Ovis aries: one gene and its partner. The protein of the gene in region 1 interacts with the protein of each later gene in a pairwise test. Links are inferred from orthologs where the notes say so. Each region holds a gene or a part of one and is shown on either strand. Other genes may lie near its edges.

What was found.
Region 2: the proteins of TECR (region 1) and HACD2 interact in binary tests that used the Homo sapiens proteins (3 or more experiments, as listed by UniProt). The link is inferred for Ovis aries from reciprocal best matches to the Homo sapiens genes TECR and HACD2.

The regions. Positions count from the first base shown.
Region 1 is NC_056058.1:9,553,957-9,557,417, forward strand, and holds part of TECR (very-long-chain enoyl-CoA reductase), read right to left. Parts: intron 1,895-3,461; coding exon 1,844-1,894; intron 1,158-1,843; coding exon 1,106-1,157; intron 803-1,105; coding exon 758-802; intron 664-757; coding exon 560-663; intron 488-559; coding exon 372-487; intron 291-371; coding exon 185-290; intron 76-184; coding exon 3-75; intron 1-2. UniProt on the Homo sapiens protein: Involved in both the production of very long-chain fatty acids for sphingolipid synthesis and the degradation of the sphingosine moiety in sphingolipids through the sphingosine 1-phosphate metabolic pathway.
Region 2 is NC_056054.1:188,809,659-188,814,176, forward strand, and holds part of HACD2 (very-long-chain (3R)-3-hydroxyacyl-CoA dehydratase 2), read right to left. Parts: intron 3,984-4,518; coding exon 3,866-3,983; intron 1-3,865. UniProt on the Homo sapiens protein: Catalyzes the third of the very long-chain fatty acids (VLCFA) elongation four-step cycle (condensation, reduction, dehydration, and reduction).

The sequences.
Region 1 (3,461 bases):
ACTGGGGGGTGTGTAGAGAGGGTGGTTGATGTAATAGGCCATCCACGCAGCGAAGCCCCAGTAGTAGGTGCAGTTCTGAAAGAGTGGGGTGGGATGGAGGCCCCGTGGAGGGCAGGACCCAGGTGAGGGGCACCAGGGAGGGCGGGGCAGAAGGGCCTGGGCCGATGGGCAGCTGGGGGCCTACCTTGAAGATGTTTCGCAAGGGCATGGTGCCGTGGGAGAAGCGGTGCACGAACAGCGTCTCCAGCAGCCGCTTGATGTAGTGGAATGAGTGGCAGATGCAGGCGAGGCTGGGGGCGGGGAGCCAGCTCAGCGGGGGCGGGTCCGGCGGGCCCCCCACCCCACTCCTCCTCCCAGCCGGCCCCACTCACTGCACCACCGTGTGCCGACTGGACGTGAAGTCGTATTTGTGGCCGTAGATGAAGGGCACCCGGAAGTAGAAGAGCAGATAGATGAAGAGGGGCCCGGCGTACTCTGTCAGGAAGACCTGGGGAGGATGGCGAGTCACCCCGGGGGCACGAGGAGGCGAGACTGCAGGGGAGGAGGGCTCGGCACTCACCGTCACCCAGCTGATCTGGGCCCCCAGGTCCCGGAAGTAGAGTGTGGCCGTGGTGCCCACGGGCAGCTTCTGCAGGACATCCTCATCCTTCAGGGACTTGCCCTCTGAGGAGAGTTGGGCCAGGGCTCAGGGGCTGCTGGGCCTAAGCCCACGGCCACCCTGGAGCCCGGGGGCAGCCCAGCAGACGGCTGTACTCACTGGGGTCCAGGCGGAGGGACTGGCGGGCGGGGTACCACTGTGGGTCTGTAGGGAGAGTAGGGTGTCAAGGCACACGGCCAAGTGGGCTCCTATGGGCCCCGGTGTGGCTCCCAGACACGGAACGGAAGCGCAGCAAGAGGGGGATGTTGTCCTTCCGGAAGCCCTGCAAGGGCGTTCCTGCGGGTGGCCACACGGGGGCGGCGGCCCCAGGCCAGCCCCGAGAGGCTTGGGCCACACCAGGGGCATCTCTGCAGGCCCTTGAGGGAGAGGCAGGCAGGATGGGGTCCCACCTAGAGGCCCCTGCCCAGAGGGGTCACAGGGAGCCGTGTGTCTGGGCCCTGGACTTACGAGTCTTGGTGAAAAGGTTCTTGATCTCAGCAATGGTGGCTTGGGGCTCCACCTGGGGGAAGCACAGGCCGGAGACAAGTCAGTTGTGGCAGAGAGTTTGGAGGGCCAGGGGCCCAGGGTCTCTCCTGGGGAGGTGGGATGGACTGGGGTCCTAGACAACTGCTATGAGAGGGGGAGGGTTGGAGACCAGGCCCCCCAACTCATCCAGCCGACACCACAACCATGGGCCAGAAGGCCATTTTAACCAGGCAGCCAGGACGCCTCTGGACCAGCTGGGGGATGGTGTGAGCATGGAAGCCAAGCCTGCTTTGCCCCTCCTCTCCACCCCACCCACAGCTCCTCCCCGAGTCAAGGCCCTCAGTCTTTTCCAGACCTCCCTGGGATGGGACCACCCCACTCCCCTGGACTGGCCTCAGAAGGGGGCAGGTCTCAGGACCCCACCTCTCTCCCAGGCACCAGAGCCCTGCAGGGTCCACTGAAGCTGCACGGCCTGCTCATACACCATGAGGCCAGCTCCAGACCACACCCAGGGAACAGGACGCTCTGCCCCAAGGGGCCGAGTGGCAGGGGCAGGCGCAGGGACACACCCGTCCTGCACACCCTGAAGGGCAGGGGGTGGCTGTCAGGACACAGCTGGAGGGGCATATCCATCTCCCCAGGGGCCAAGACCCCAGAAAAGGAGGAGTCCCAGGCCCAGCACCCTCGGGCCCACAAAGCTGGCGCCACGGCCGGTCCTACCTTGTCCAGGAAGCACAGCTTCTCCCGGGTCTTGGCATCCAGAATCTCCACCTCGAAGAAGAGAACGGCTTTTTTAGGTTTCTTGGTCGCTTTGGGGGGCGCAGGCCGGGGGAGGCCATTGAGGCCAAAGCCAGGGCCGAGCCCCTGGCTGCTGTCCCGGGCCGCCAGGCTCACGCTCAGGTCCATGCCTCCCCGCTCTGCCCGCAGCGGCCAGAGTCCCCAGCTGCCGGCCGTCAGCCCCCACCACAGACCTCCCCACGCGAGGCGCTCTGGGTCGGGCCGGCGCGATCAAATTCTGCCGCGGTGCTGGAAGGAAGCCCGTGCCTGCCCTGGCACTGCCAGCTTCTGTGCAGATGTAACCTGAGTGGCCCAGCAGCCACGACCCAGCTAAATATAAAACTGCCCCACCGGAGTCCCCCAGGAGCCACACCACAGACCTCCCGGGGTGGGGGGCACCTGGGAGCAGCACCCCCAGGCCTGGGGGGTTCCGACTGTAAGGCTTTCCAGTGGACGTGGACCCCCAACAGTACGGCAGGGAGATGCCCAGGATGGGCACGGAGGCGGGTCCCAGCCCAGTGCAGAGCAAGGGCTAGTCCACCAGGAGGAGGGGGAGAGGTCAGCGGGCAGCCCAGGGCCCAGCTCAGCCCTCAGAGCTCCCTGGGCTTGGAGAAATCCCAGCTATTCTGAGAATCCGTGAGATAGATCATTCATTTCCCCTTCTGAGCTGCAAGGGACACTCTGGATTAGTTTCCTCGTGCGTTCATGTTCCCAGGGAAGGTGACAGATTCCGGGGTTCCCAGCGCGGAGAGCCTCATTCTAAGCGTGGAAAGGGTCTGGAAATGGAGAAGCTTCCACCAAGCACCCTCAACCAATCCTGAGACCTTGGCCCCCACCTCCATGGCCCCCTCTCCGCCTGCTTCTCATCAGGCCCACCCAGGCCTTGTTCAAGGCCACCACCAGGGCAGTCCTTCCACCACACCAGCCCAGCACAACATCTTTGTCCAGGCTCTGAGCCCCCAGAGCCCAGAGCAGACATCCCAGGCACCCCCTAGTCTCTGAGCCCCAGTCAGGGGAGCACGGGGGCAATGCTGGGAGGGGCAGGGCTCCGAGGGGAGTCTGACCCACCCGCTCTAAGCAGGCAGACAGAAGGCATGCCAGCCAGCAGTGAAAGGTGCTAACTTGGGGGAGCTGGAGTGAGGCCTAGCAGCCCCAGCCTGTCATGAAAGGTCTGAGGCCCCTGGGGCAGGGCTTGATTCGGATCTTATCAGACACCCAGGCAGGGCTGGGTCTGACCCCAAGTAGGCCCTTCCCACCTGGCAGGCCCTCATCGGAGGCAGCATGGAGAAAAGGAGAACGTGGAACCCAGGGCAGGGCCCTGAACAAGGCTCTCTGAGGGCACATCCACCCAGCCAGGGACCCCCCCCCGCCCCCGCCCCAGGGAAAGGGTTCCTCTCTGACACCCCCTACTGCCAGCAGGAGAGGCAGGGGCTCAGCAGGCGGCACACAGGACTGATCCCAGGCTTCTCTCTCAGTCCCACCCTGGGGGCAGGTAGGAAGGTGTGTACCTTGAGGGGCTGGCACGGTGCCTAACAGACCAGACGTACCCCAAAACGTCAGG
Region 2 (4,518 bases), on another chromosome or scaffold:
AAAGTGTCTTTGTGGTAATTACAGTCTTACATTAACTAAATATATTTAGAAATCCAAATTCTGTTGGAAATAAGTTTAAAGTGCCATAATGTAGGATCAATCTACCAATTTCTAATCTTTAACCGAATTCTCAACAGGAAAGATAGAATCCTTCCTTATCCAGGACTATCATGGACAACTCAGAAAAGAATAAAGTAAAAAGAAAACTTATCCATGGGTCATTATAGATGAATGGTATTTTAAAAAACTGAGATATAGTTCACATATCACAAAATTCACTTAAAGTATACTATTCAGTGATTTTCAGTTATGTTTCTAAGGTTGTACAACCATACCACCATTTAATTCAAGAACAATTTCATCACCTTAAAAAGAAATCCTGTACCCATAAGCAGTCACAGCCCTTGGCAACCATTAATCCACTTTCTGTCTCTCTGAATTTGCTTATTCTGGATCTTTCATATAAATGGAACCAAACACATAGCTTTTTGTTTCTAGCTTCTTTCACAAAGCATGTTTTCAAGATTCATCTATGTCGTAACAAGTACCAGTAATTCATTCATTTATGGTATGAAGAAACCATTTTTTATTTATCTATGAATGGCATTTAAAAAATATACTTCTGTTACCTATGTTAATTAACTCCCAGGATTACTCCACATTTAACTCAAGACACAATGTATTTATTTACACACTGACCTCTTGGCCCACAAAGTTACCAGCATTTTACTTTCTATAGATTTATAAATCATCTCATATCTTAGTATCTTCACTGTACTGTGTCTCATGACTTTGGTGCATACTTTCTTGGGCTTGCTGCCTAAAACCACTTTTCTAGAGATTGTCCCTTCCCTCCAACTTCTATACGGTTAATGTGACCCTGCTCTTGTCTATAGGTGACTGGACCAGAAATAAGTACCTAATTTAAGCTGGACAATTAGGCTCTTCACTAGGACTATGGAAATGGAAATAAGATTGCTTTTAATTAGCTGCTCTCTTGATTGCAGAAACTACAATCTCAGGAGTTTTCTATTACCATGGTCTGCCACGTAGACTAAGAAACCAAACAAACAAACAAGGAAGCAAACAAACCAGTCTGCAGGAAGAGAAGAATCAGAGGAAGAGAGAGAGCACGGTAATGAGACACCGCAAGAACTCCTGGGTTCCCAGTGGCGCTCCAGTCCCTGATTCCAGGCCATTCCTAGGTCCCAGGTGCAGCCCCACCATTGGGTTCCATGGGACACACTATACATTTCTAACAAAGTCCCCTTACAGATGAAGTCAGTCAAGGAGGTTTCTATAATCTCTAGCCAATGGTCCTAACAGAAGCATCTACTCAATAAAATTTTAATATCTTTATCAGTAAGGGTTCAGTCTCCATGGTACCCATTACAGTGACTCAAGCACATACTTATTTAACTATCACCTGTGGAATATTTTGGAAAACTATCTATAAAAATTACTCAAGACATTCTTGTATGAGTATGTGGGAAAAAAATTGGGATTTCTATTTTATTAAAAAGCTATATTATTGTTTCACAAACTCAATATATCTTGTACATATTTTGCAAAACTTCATTTAATTTCCTCAGAAATTAAATGGACATTACTACATGTCCATTTATACATGATTAGTAAATGTTTCTAAATTTTTTTAAAAGCAAAGTGTTATATTTTCCTGAGAAGATTTGAAGTTTCTTGAGAACAAGTAGAGTCTATTTCAAACTCTCATAGAACCTATTAAGGAATAATCATATAGATTATTATTCAGAATATTCTTACAGAGGTACAAGTGAGTGGCTGACCTCCCTGGACTCATTTTTTCCTCCTTTAACAGGGTTTATTATCAAGCACTAATAACTCACAAAAGGACAACTTATCTGTAATTAAACAATACTAAGCACATGTAATTATCATACCATCTAGGTTGGGTAGGCGAGAAAACATTCCTTAATGGACAGCTCAGGAAACGCTGTTCTAGCAAGCCTGATCTTTTCTCCCCAGTTGAGGGGTCCCTTCCCACCACTGCCATCTTCAAAGCTAATATACTGCACATTCCAGGGAGTCTTCATTCATTTTGCAGAGTACTTTTCCCAGAATCAAATCCAGGATTTGTCACCAAATTGGTTTTTACTGGGGATAATAGAGATAAAACCAAAACTCCAAAGTATTTTCTTAAATCCCTATTAAAAATTCTATAAGGATAAATGGGCTAATCCCTCCCAGGCTAAGATTTGGTTCCTAAGTGGATTTTTGTATCACACTATTTGAGGTCACTACCTTCCCTAAGATAATCTTAAAATTTCAAAATTATACCTCTAATATTACCAAGTCTTACAGAGACAGACTCCCCTTTAAATTATTACATTATTCCAATGGGGGACCACTTCCTACTGTGTCAAGCACTGAGGCAGTTTCTAATGGTCTTGATTCCAAATTTGCTTCTCTGTAGCTTTAGAGAACTGTGTGGGCCAAAGGTCCAGGAGACAGGTTCTACTTATTTACTACTGCCTCTTTCCAAAAAAACGTCAACCTCCAAGTTTAAAATATGGCCTAAACTACTTCCACCTAATTATTCTACAAATGAGAAAAAGAGGTAGACAAGAGGTAAATGACACCCCCAAATTCCCAAAGTAAGTTAGTAAAACTAGCATGCTTAGAATATGGCACTCAAGCTCCGGCTGCAGGCTCTTTACATCACACTATCTACCTTAAATGTGTAAGAAGGACAGTATCGAAGTCTCTCTGCTTTTTCTGCTTTCAAAAATTAGGGGAGAGGTGGAAGGAACACATTTTATTTCATAGAGATAAATGGTCTTTTCTTAAATAGTCTTCCAAACATCATGACGGGCTTGGCCTAGAGGCTACGTGAAATGAAACTGAATACCAGATCTGCTCTGCACCCTGAAAAATTTTCACCATAAAGAACTACGGCAGCTATTGTGTGTGCCCAAAGCCATCTCATCTCCCTTTTTCCATTAACAAAGTCTACAGTTTCTTGGCCAGAAGGATGTGCCCCAGATCTGACTAATCAAGTATCTCACATCACTGGCAAGAGTGATTGTCCTAAGTAAGGCCAACCAGAATCCTTCCCTGACGCTAAGAAAAATAAGCTCTCTCACACCATGTGGAGAAGGCAATCTGCAGCAGGAGAGCCTAAGACCAATATTCAAAGAGAAGCAGAGCAGCAGAGACGAGAGATGGAAGGAGAGTCCGCAGCATCACATCCTTGGTTCTCACTCCTCATTCCTGAGCTGGTCCCTTTGATTTTGTAGGCTTACCCTACATCTTTACCAACCATGGGAGCCGATAAATTTCCTTTTGCTTAAAATAATTTGAATTGGGCTTCTGTCACTTGCCACGCAAAAATCCTAACATACTTAACCCAGAAGACAGGAATGGATATATACATTATCCTTAATACAGGGAAATTAATAAACTATTCTTTAAGAAAAAATTTGGAGGCTTCTAGACAGTCTCTACTGTTTCTTATATCTGTCCCTCCTGACATCCTACACTTACCAACTTCACTGTGCCCATTATATGCCAGGCCCCAAGAGTATCCGAGTTTGCTAGCAGTTCCCTAGAATGTTCCTGGAACTTTTTTAATCCTAATATAAGTCTGTTTAATTTGATTTCCAATAAAAGTTGAATGTAAAACACATTCCAAGTAATGCAAGTTAAATGAGATCTACTTGACCTGGTCAAAGAGATAAACTAGACATCAACATTATACATAGCATACTATGAGGCAAGTTTTTAACATTTAAAGCAAATCCAACAGAAACATGGCTACTTCAATACAATTTAGTAGCTTGTTTTAATTTTACAATAGAAATCAACAACAACAAATCACAGGACCCACCTCCAATAAGGCTCCAGTTTGGAAGAATTTCAAAGGCTTTTCAATGGAATAATAAAGGCTGTGATAGCTACCCTTAGCCAGGTATGCTCTGACCAGACCAACTGCTATAACGAGCCACCTAAGAAAAAGAACAATCAGAAAAAAAAAAAGGTTAAGTAGGATTATAATAGAAAGACATGGCAACGACAGATACTGCCAAAGGTGACCTCAAGAATCTGTCCTGGATTTATGATCACCCTCAAATGCCAAGCTGTATGTAATGCACAGAAATGCTGCACCATCAGCAACATCCTAACAAGAGTGCTTTTTTGTAAGAGCACAGTGGCACCTCACCCATCTGGAGCTTGGCTTTTTGGCAACCTTGCCTATTGAGAACAAGGCCAAAAGGAAGGGAATAAGCTAAATTGGTCCTTGAGCGGCTATATTAGGTGCCAGAAAGTACAAGGCAAAAGAAACTATTACAGGCAAATTTAATGCCCTGTGCAGTTAAAGGGTCTGTAATAATAACAGGGTGAAGATAAGATGTTTTAAACTATTTATGTAAGTATCTTACTGGTACGTTAAAAGCTGTTCTTTTAAAAGACTGCAAATGACATGAATAAATAGCTTTCTTTTTTTTTTAGAATAAAAGGCTTTTAAGCTGAGAGTCCCAA